Linked DNA regions of Callithrix jacchus. The main gene of each other region encodes a partner of the protein of the gene in region 3 in a complex. Links are inferred from orthologs where the notes say so. Each region holds a gene or a part of one and is shown on either strand. Other genes may lie near its edges.

Region 1 (3,659 bases), on a different chromosome or scaffold from region 3:
GTATTAAACAAGAGTCTTTGACATTATACAAAGAGTTTAAACAAATATATCTAACAGTTACAGGCCAGTGGCTCTTAAAGCAGCCATCAGTCAGGTTCAAGGACACACTGTTCCACAATTTCCCGTAAATTGGGGTTTTCCATTGCAGCTGCCACTCGTTCTTTGTCATTTATCTGCTTATTGACTGAAAAATACACAGACAAAAGTTAGCAGAAGAACTGTGTCAACATACAGTGCCAGACAGTATTTTTTATTAGCCTGCTGAAACAAAAAACTGAACTGCTTGAGAACTTGAAGTCATTTTTGGCTAATTATACTCATAATTATACTCATAATATAATTTCTCACCTAGAAGGCAGATTTAAGAGAAAAATTATAGTAGACACTATAATTCTACTACTTACCACATCTATTTTTTTCTTTCTAGTCTTTGTCCATATACATATCTTTATACAGTTACATTCAGAGTAAATACAATTTTGAAAATTGCTGGTTTTTTTCCCCATAAGCCTATATTTTAATCTACAGGGTTATTTAACATGGTAAAAGTCTTAAGTGTTCTAAACTAATTATGAAGACTATGCTACGATGAACACCTTTAAACATATAGCCTTCTTTTTGGAAATATTCTCAAAAATGGGATTTTTTTTTTTTTTTTTTTTTTTGAGATGGAGTCTCACTCTGTTGCCTAGGCTGGAGTGCAGTGGCACGATCTCAGCTCACTATAACCTCCACCTCCCAGGTTCAAGTGATTCTCCTGCTTCAGCCTCCTGAGTAGCTGGAACCACAGGCACACACCACCACACCCAGCTAATTTTTGTATTTTTTAGTAGAGACGAGGTTTCACCATATTGACCAGGCGGGTCTCAAACTCCTGACCTCTTGATTCACCTGCCTTGGCCTCCCGAAGTGCTGGGACTACAGACGTAAGCCACCATGGCCTGCCCAAGAATATGAATATTTTTATGGTTTGATTTATATCATTGATTTACTTCCCAAAATTACTCACCAATTTACATTGTCAACATCAATACATGAGCTATCAGTTTGGCAGCAATACCTGCTATTACTATTATTCTTCTTTGAGACAGTGGTACAATCATAGCTCCCTGTAACCTCCAACTCCTGGGCTCAAGAAATCCTCCTGCCTCAGCCTCCCACAGGCATGAGCCATCACACCTGGCTAATTTTCAAATTTTTTTGTAGAGACAGGGTCTCACTATGTTGTCCAGGCTAGTCTTGAAATCCCAGCCTCAAACTCCTGGCCTCAAGGCATTCTCTTGCGTTGGCCTCCCAAAGTGCTAGGGTTATAGGTGTGAACCACCATGCCCAGGCAATAGCTGCTATTATTTAATAAAAACTAATATGCATATAAACATACATAAAATAGGAGGTGGTAAATGGTTCAATATTATTGCTATAATTTGCATTTCCTTGTCTAATAGGAAAACAGAACATTTTCAATGTGTATATATTAGTTCTTGCATGAATTTCCTGTTCATGTTTCTTTCTATTAATCTACCAGATCTTTTTTAAAAGTTAGTTTGAATGAATCTTCATATAATAAAGGTATTGATCCATTATGTTTTCTACAATTAGCTAACAGCACTCTTAACAGAAGAGTTCAAAAGAGAGACACCCATATTCTTAATGTGGATTGACTTTTCTGGGATGCTGCTAAAATGTCTCATATAGAAGACAAACACACATACACATATTCCTGTGTAAATAATTTCAATTCAGTTTCTTCTTACTACAATGTAGGCTCCACAAAGGCAGGAATACATCTCAAAAGTTGAACTGTACCCTCACATAGAAGGCTCTTAGTAAATATTTACTAAACGAAAAACAAGAATCATAAGACTTAATACTATTGCTGTTGTAAAAACCTATCATTTGAGGAATTTCAAAAGGATAGCCTGAGTGGATTTAGGGTACCTAAACTCTTATTTTTTTAATCAGAGGTAGAAGCCCTCAGCACATGGGGTTTAAAGAAATTTAGCCCATTGTGTGGTGGTCCATGCCTGTAATCCCAGCACTTTGGGAGGCTGAGGTGGGCGGATCACGAGGTCAGGAGTTCGAGACCAGCCTGGCCAACACGGGTGAAACCCCATCTCAACTAAAAATACAAAAATTAGCTGGATGTGGTGGTGCATGCCTGTAGTCCCAGCTACTTGGGAGGCTAAGGCAGGAGAATTGCTTGAACCCAGAAGGTGGAGGTTGCAGTTGCAATGAGGTGACATCATGTCAGTGCACTCCAGCCTGGGCAACAGAGCAAGACTTGGTCTCAAAAAAAAGAAAAGAAATTTAGCCCACAAAGAGTATAATAATCTACATGCCTGAAACTATAGCTAGGACATGATTTTAATAGTTTTCATGACAGTAACCTAAAAAGTTTCCTGGATGGGCTATTCCTCTGGAAGCAACAGGGTTCCCTGCTTCCCTCTCTACAGCTCTCTTCTATGTAGGAGATTTTGTGTGTCTTTCTCCAGCCCTGGGTATGGCTTTCTGAGTCTTCTGGGTATCTATCTGACTGTTTCTCTCACTCCATTATCAATCATCTCTTTCTTCCACTCCTCTGATGAAACAAGTACAAACACCCTTTAAATGTATTTCTCATTACTTACACTCTATCATTTGTAGATTAAAAACATTAAAATTCTGTTTTTAAGGTAACACATGGATCATACAGAACATTCTGCCTTTTGCTTTTCCCAAACCCCACTTTGGCCATTAGAAGTCACTACAGTGACTTCTCTCTGTAGGTCAGAGGTTCTGTATATAAAAAGTTTCCCCACCCCCATTCTAATATACTAACCCAGAGAGACAGCATCTACCACAAGACTCACTACAGCTCTACTTGCTAGACCCAATTTCAAGTACACAGCTCTCTTATCCTGCCACCAAAGAAAAGCAGCCTACTTAGAGCTCATAAGTCAAGGTCCCTAGAGCTGGATATTCTTTACAGATGTGTAGCCACTGGCCTAAACTAGTCAACATCCATGAGCTCTAATGCACTTAGAGTCCCACTGTAAAAATTACTTCCCTGAAATGCCTAGGTTTTCCTACCTAGGAAAGAAGAGCTAATAACTAATTGCGTACTTTTTTTGAAAGTAACCCAGTAGATACTTGGCTGGTAGAAGAATCCAGTATCCAAGAAAAAATACTATCTGAAGTGTTTTTCCATTAGTTTAAACATTCACTTACTGTCTTCTTCTGTTGAGTGCGTTCCTTCAGAAATGTAGATTTCCAACTAGAAAGGGAAAAAAGAAAGTCAAAGAAAAAACGTTAGAGCATTCTAAGATGAGAGAGTGAAGTGGAATATACAGTGAATCAAACATCTAGGGAATGAGGGTCCAAAACCAGGAGTCTTGCTGTGTTCACCAAGCTGGAGCACAATGGCAGGATCTCGGCTCACTGCAATCTCCGCCTCCCAGGTTCAAGCAATTCCCCTGCTTCAGCCTACTGAATAGGTGGGACTATAGGCATGTACAACCACACCTGGCTAATTTTTTTTTGTATTTTAGTAGAGATGAGGTATCACCATGCTGGCCGGAGGGTCTTGATCTCCTAACCTCATAATCCACATACCTTAGCCTTCCAAAGTGCTGGGATTATAGGCATGAGCCACTGTGCCTGGCCCTTTTTTTTTTTGAGAT
Region 2 (3,043 bases), on a different chromosome or scaffold from region 3:
AAGTTAGATTCTCCTCTGAGGCGCCTAGGACATAGGAATGTCTTAAGTGTAAGCGAAGTCTGTCTTGCAGGGGTGGCATGCAGCGGCTCTGACCCCAGTTGGAAATGTGTCTGTACTTTGTCGGGCTTCCACTCAAGGACGATTTATGACATTGCTTGGTAAGACTCTATCCCCTACCCCCATTCCATCCCCATAAAGCAGAGATTTCAGAGAAGGCATGACCCATGCAGCCCTCTGCAACCTTGGGTGGTGCTTGGGAATTGAGGGCAGCCATCCCCATTCCTTATCAGCCCTGACTCTACCATGCTGGCTTACAGCTGCTTGGGCTGGTATTCACGGGAGCAAGAAACAATTCCATGCTGTGAGGACAGCACCAGTGCTCAGGGTTCACACAGTTTGTGCTGTACAGAAGTTATTATTGAATCTGCATTCATGGCTGGAGTTTTTATGGCTTGGTAACACTGACTCTGTCCTTTGGAAGCTGGGAAAGCTGCATCATTCATATAGGAGAGTAGGTCAGAGCTTAGTTCTGGCCCTGAGAATTGATCCCTAGGAAATAATCCAGAACAGTGAAAAAAAAACTGATAAGCACTTAAGCTTGCTTTATATTAGCATTTGGGAATCACCTATTCAACAAAAGTGAATTTAAGTAAATTATGGTAGAACTCAGCTTGTTATATCACTGTTTAAAGAAAGGGGTTAAGAGGCCGGGCATTGTGGCTCATGCCTGTAATCCCAGCATTTTGGGAGGCCGAGGTGGGTGGATCACCTGAGGTAGGGAGCTCGAGACCAGCCTGACCAACATGGAGAAACCCTGTCTTTAAAAACAGAAAAGAAAGGGGTTAAAAATACTTTATTTTGGTTGAGCAAAGTGGCTCATGCCTTTAATCCCAGCACTTCGGGAGTCTAAGGCGGGTGGATCACTTGAGGTCGGGAGTTCGAGACTAGCCTGGCCAACATGGTGAAACCCTGTCTGTACTGAAAATACAAAAATTAGCGGGGCATGGTGGCACACACCTGTAGTCCCAGCTACTGGGGAGACTGAGGCAGGAAAATCACTTGAACCTGGGAAGTGGAGGTTGCAGTGAGCAGAGATCGTGCCACTGCACTCTAGCCTGGGTGACAAGGCAAGACTCCATCTCAAAAAAAACAAACAAACAAAAAAAACTTTATGACATGGGAAACTGCTTATGCCAAGTGAGAAAAGTGCAGTTCATAACTGCATGTAGTTTTTTAGGGTAATCATAGTGGGGGAAAAAACTAGATGGCAGCATCTGAAGATGTAAGTGGGTAATATTTGTGACTCCTTATTACTTAGGGAAACATTTCAAGAGGAGGTTTTTAGCTGAGGCCTAAAGTTAGGAAAGAGAACAGGCCAGGAACTATGGAACAAGTCATAGTAGGTATGACCTAATCAGTCAGGTATACCCACTGATGTCACTTTCCTTCCAGGTGTCAGCTGACAGGGGCCTTGGCTACAGCTTGTGGGGATGATGCAATTCGTGTGTTTGAGGAGGATCCCAACTCAGATCCACAGCAGCCCACCTTCTCCCTGACAGCCCACTTGCATCAGGCCCATTCCCAAGATGTCAACTGTGTGGCCTGGAACCCCAAGGAGCCAGGGCTGCTGGCCTCCTGCAGTGATGATGGGGAGGTGGCCTTCTGGAAGTATCAGCGGCCTGAAGGCCTCTGAGCTACCTCAACTTTGGACAGCATAATGACTCCCAGAAAATGTCATGAGACTTTGCCAGCCCCTGAGAAGACCAGGAGGAGCATCCTTGACCTTCATTTAAAATGGCTCACTTCTATTTAGACTTGGGTGGAAGTATGGAGCCACAGAACTGCTCTCCTTCCCCGCCTTTGTCATGAGGCCCTCAGTAAAGAGCTACAGAACATCAGTACATTGTTATACCACCGATTTTTCTTGCATTAGGGCACAGTGTTAAATTTTTTGGGGGTAAATATACTATTTATAATCACTATGTATAGTAGGAGGGGGTATATGTCTCAGGCCTTTCTGAAGTTGTAAGACAAATAATCCATCTGCGTCCCGAGCCCTATTCATAAGGATATTCATAAAAGAATTCCATGGTGAATCCTTGTCTGAAATAGATCCTGCCTTCCCAGTTTCTGGGTAAATCTTTGCATTTAAGACATCCAATCAATATTGAAGGAAATTTTTTTCTGAATGTAGATTTGAGAGAGGGGCATCTCTGCTTTCCCTCAGAAACCCTCATATACCTCCTGCACTGTTACGCTGTGATGGCAACAGAGTAGGAAAAAAAGGAGAAGACAGGAACCCTAAAAGGGAGGGTTATTACTGGACAGAGGCCCTATATTTTCAACAGGGATGCAAATTGCTTCTTCAGTAGAAATAAAAAGTAGTTTCTGGTCCTCCACAAACATACAGTGTGGTTGTGGTATTTCATTTTCATGGCAGTGAGTGAGCAGGAAGAAGGCTCCTTAGGGGAATGGTGACAAAAACCAGTTGAGAAACACTGGCTTTGGCAGTCGGTGTTCAGGGTTGCGCTAAGGTTGTCTCGACAGTCACTTCTAAATAGGTTCTAATGTGACAATGGTCTCCAAAACTACAGCCCTCACTTAAGTTTAAGCTGTGACCTTAGATTTTAGAAAGACAGTGGTGTGGTACCTAGAGTAGTGGTTCTCAAGAGTATGTGGTCTCTAGATCCTGGGAGTCCCAAGACCCTTTGAGGGAGGATCTGTGAGGTCAACTGTTGGCACTGCAGCATGAACCAAGGTGGTGGCAGCAAACTTCTAGTAGTTTTGACACATCCTTGATAAATAACAGTGGCTAACTGTATTAAATGTTGACCTAGCTGGGCGCGGTGGCTCATGCCTGTAATCCCAGCACTCTGGGAGGCCAAGGTGGGCAGATCTCCTGAGGTCGGGAGTTCAAGACCAGCCTGACCAACATGGAGAAACCCTGTCTTTACTAAAAATTAGCCAGGTGTATTGCCATACCCATAATCCCAGCTACTTGGGAGGCTGAGGCAGGAGAATCGCTTGAACCTGCGAGGCAGAG
Region 3 (2,318 bases):
GTGCTGGCCATGCTGAAGTGCGGATCATGTTCCGCCAGCGCTTCTTCACAGATAATGTGCCTGCTTTGGTCCAGGGCTTCCATGCTGCTCCCCAAGGTGAGGAGTCTGAAAGAAAGGCCCCACACATACACACCTCTCCTTTGCTTGTCCACATTACCCGATAACTTAGGACCTGCTTGCTTCTTTAGAGCTATATTGTGGTCTGTGCCTAGGAGACTGAACTTCTAGATTCTTGTCCCACTTCTTCCTTTGTGGGTGTATCTTGTTTATTCTAAACATGAAGGGCTTTTCACCCCTTTGTAGGCTGATGTCTCAACCTCATCACAGATCGGAATTGAATTCTCAAGCTATGTATCTAAGCCCAATTTCTCTCCTAAGCTTTCCCATTTTTTTACAGGTGTGAAGCCAAACTACTTGAAGGGTCTTTCTCATGTACTTAACAGGCTGCCCAAGCCTGTGCTCTTGCCAGAGCTGCCCACAGTAAGTCCTGCAGGTAGAACCTCTAAGCGAAGGACAATTCTTTCCCAGATGGGGCTAGAAAGGGAGGGTACAAGAACCAGGATCTGCATGATGTGGCCATCCCACACCTTGCCCATTGCCCCTTAGCTTCTTTCCTTGCTGCTGGAGGCCCTGTCCTGCCCTGACTGTGTGGTACAGCTCTCTACCCTCAGCTGCCTTCAGCCTCTTCTACTGGAAGCACCCCAAGTCATGAGTCTTCACGTGGACACTCTCGTCACCAAGTTTCTGAACCTCACCTCTAGCCCTTCCATGGTATGTTGAGCCCCAGCAACTCTCAGGAACCAGCAGCTCTCCCTGGGTCTGCTCTCACCTCCTTGTGGTTGTGTTCCAGGCCGTCCGGATCGCCGCACTGCAGTGCATGCATGCTCTCACTCGCTTGCCCACCCCTGTGGTAAGTACCTCAGGTGCCCCTCTCTGGCCTGGGACCGTCTCAAGAGACAGATAAATACCTTTTTGCCTTAGTCGAGTGGGCTTGGCTGTTTCAATTACACCCTGCTGTGTAATTGAGATCTGAATTACAAGGTACAGATAAGCAAGGATTCTTTTCCTTGGGCCCAGAAGGTAACAGAATGGCCATCCCTTGGAATCACTAAAGATGTTTCAGTTTCCTCAGAATATTAGTTGTACAGAATCAAAAAAGGGGCACTTTCAGTTGCCTTGGATGAGCAAGGTTGATTATATCCTCTGACTCCACAGCTGCTGCCATACAAACCACAGGTGATCCGAGCCTTAGCCAAACCCTTGGATGACAAGAAGAGACTGGTGCGCAAGGAAGCAGTGTCAGCCAGAGGGGAGTGGTGAGTTTCTAGGCCATGGGGAGAAATGGGACCGAGATGAGCCTTACCACTAATGCTGCCAACTTTCTTTTTGCCTACAGGTTTCTGTTGGGGAGCCCTGGCAGCTGAGCTGTCAGTCCTGGCCTAGACTGTTCTGACAATCTAACCTGGAATTACTAACTATGGAGCCATCATCCCCAAAGCAGGGAAACTGCTGGCCTCTGCCTGCCTTTCCTACAGACACAGCACAAATGCTAGGCTTCTGTTGCATGGAGCATAAGGTCCAGATTTCTAGTGGATTTGTGCATTAACTGTGAGACACTTGTGTTTGAAGAAAGATCTAGGGTCTTGGGTCTCTTGCATTTGTATGTCAGAGAAGGGGTAATATGCTGCTGAGGGGTGAGTGCATATGACTGTGGCCCTGAGGACCAGGGGTGGTGGCTGTGTGTGCACCTGCTGAAGAATAAAGATGTCTTTTGGTAATGGGACTGTCAGACATTTCCCCCACCCAACATATGCCTCGTAGAACCAGAGGCATTACTAAACTAAGCTGGAAGAACAATGATGACAGGGACTGGCCAAAAATTTTTCAGGGTAACCAACAAAGTAGCTCATGCCTGTAACCCCAACACTTTAGGAGACTGAAGCAGGAGGATTGCTTGAGGCAGGGAGTTTGAGACTGGTCCTGGGCAATATAGCAAGAACCCATCTCCACAAATAATTTAAAAAATTCGGCTGGGCATGGTGGCTTACGCCTGTAATCCCAGCATTTTGGGAGGCCAAGGGGGGTGGATCACTGGAGGTCAGGAGTTCAATACTGGGCAACTTGGTTAAACCCCATGTCTACTAAAAATGCAAAAATTAACCAGGTGTGGTGGCACACGCCTTTACTTGGGAGGCTGAGGCACAAGAATCGCTTCAACCTGGGAGGCGGAGGTTGCAGTGAGTTGAGATCATGCCAAAGTGTAAGAGGCATGACCAGAATACCTACTCACTAGGTCTTGACACTGATTTTCCCCTTCC

Evidence for each region.
Region 1: MMS19 (region 3) and CIAO2A share a complex: the UniProt entries of both Homo sapiens proteins name them as parts of the CIA complex. The link is inferred for Callithrix jacchus from reciprocal best matches to the Homo sapiens genes MMS19 and CIAO2A.
Region 2: MMS19 (region 3) and CIAO1 share a complex: the UniProt entries of both Homo sapiens proteins name them as parts of the MMXD complex. The link is inferred for Callithrix jacchus from reciprocal best matches to the Homo sapiens genes MMS19 and CIAO1.

Annotation. Positions count from the first base shown.
Region 1 is NC_133509.1:10,883,055-10,886,713, forward strand, and holds part of CIAO2A (cytosolic iron-sulfur assembly component 2A), read right to left. Parts: intron 3,254-3,659; coding exon 3,208-3,253; intron 185-3,207; coding exon 87-184; 3' UTR 1-86. UniProt on the Homo sapiens protein: Component of the cytosolic iron-sulfur protein assembly (CIA) complex, a multiprotein complex that mediates the incorporation of iron-sulfur cluster into extramitochondrial Fe/S proteins.
Region 2 is NC_133515.1:6,115,736-6,118,778, forward strand, and holds the end of CIAO1 (putative cytosolic iron-sulfur protein assembly protein CIAO1), read left to right. Parts: intron 1-70; coding exon 71-158; intron 159-1,452; coding exon 1,453-1,693; 3' UTR 1,694-2,403; downstream 2,404-3,043. UniProt on the Homo sapiens protein: Key component of the cytosolic iron-sulfur protein assembly (CIA) complex, a multiprotein complex that mediates the incorporation of iron-sulfur cluster into extramitochondrial Fe/S proteins.
Region 3 is NC_133513.1:90,279,891-90,282,208, reverse strand, and holds the end of MMS19 (MMS19 nucleotide excision repair protein homolog), read left to right. Parts: coding exon 1-96; intron 97-397; coding exon 398-480; intron 481-606; coding exon 607-771; intron 772-850; coding exon 851-910; intron 911-1,215; coding exon 1,216-1,316; intron 1,317-1,396; coding exon 1,397-1,424; 3' UTR 1,425-1,778; downstream 1,779-2,318. UniProt on the Homo sapiens protein: Key component of the cytosolic iron-sulfur protein assembly (CIA) complex, a multiprotein complex that mediates the incorporation of iron-sulfur cluster into apoproteins specifically involved in DNA metabolism and genomic integrity.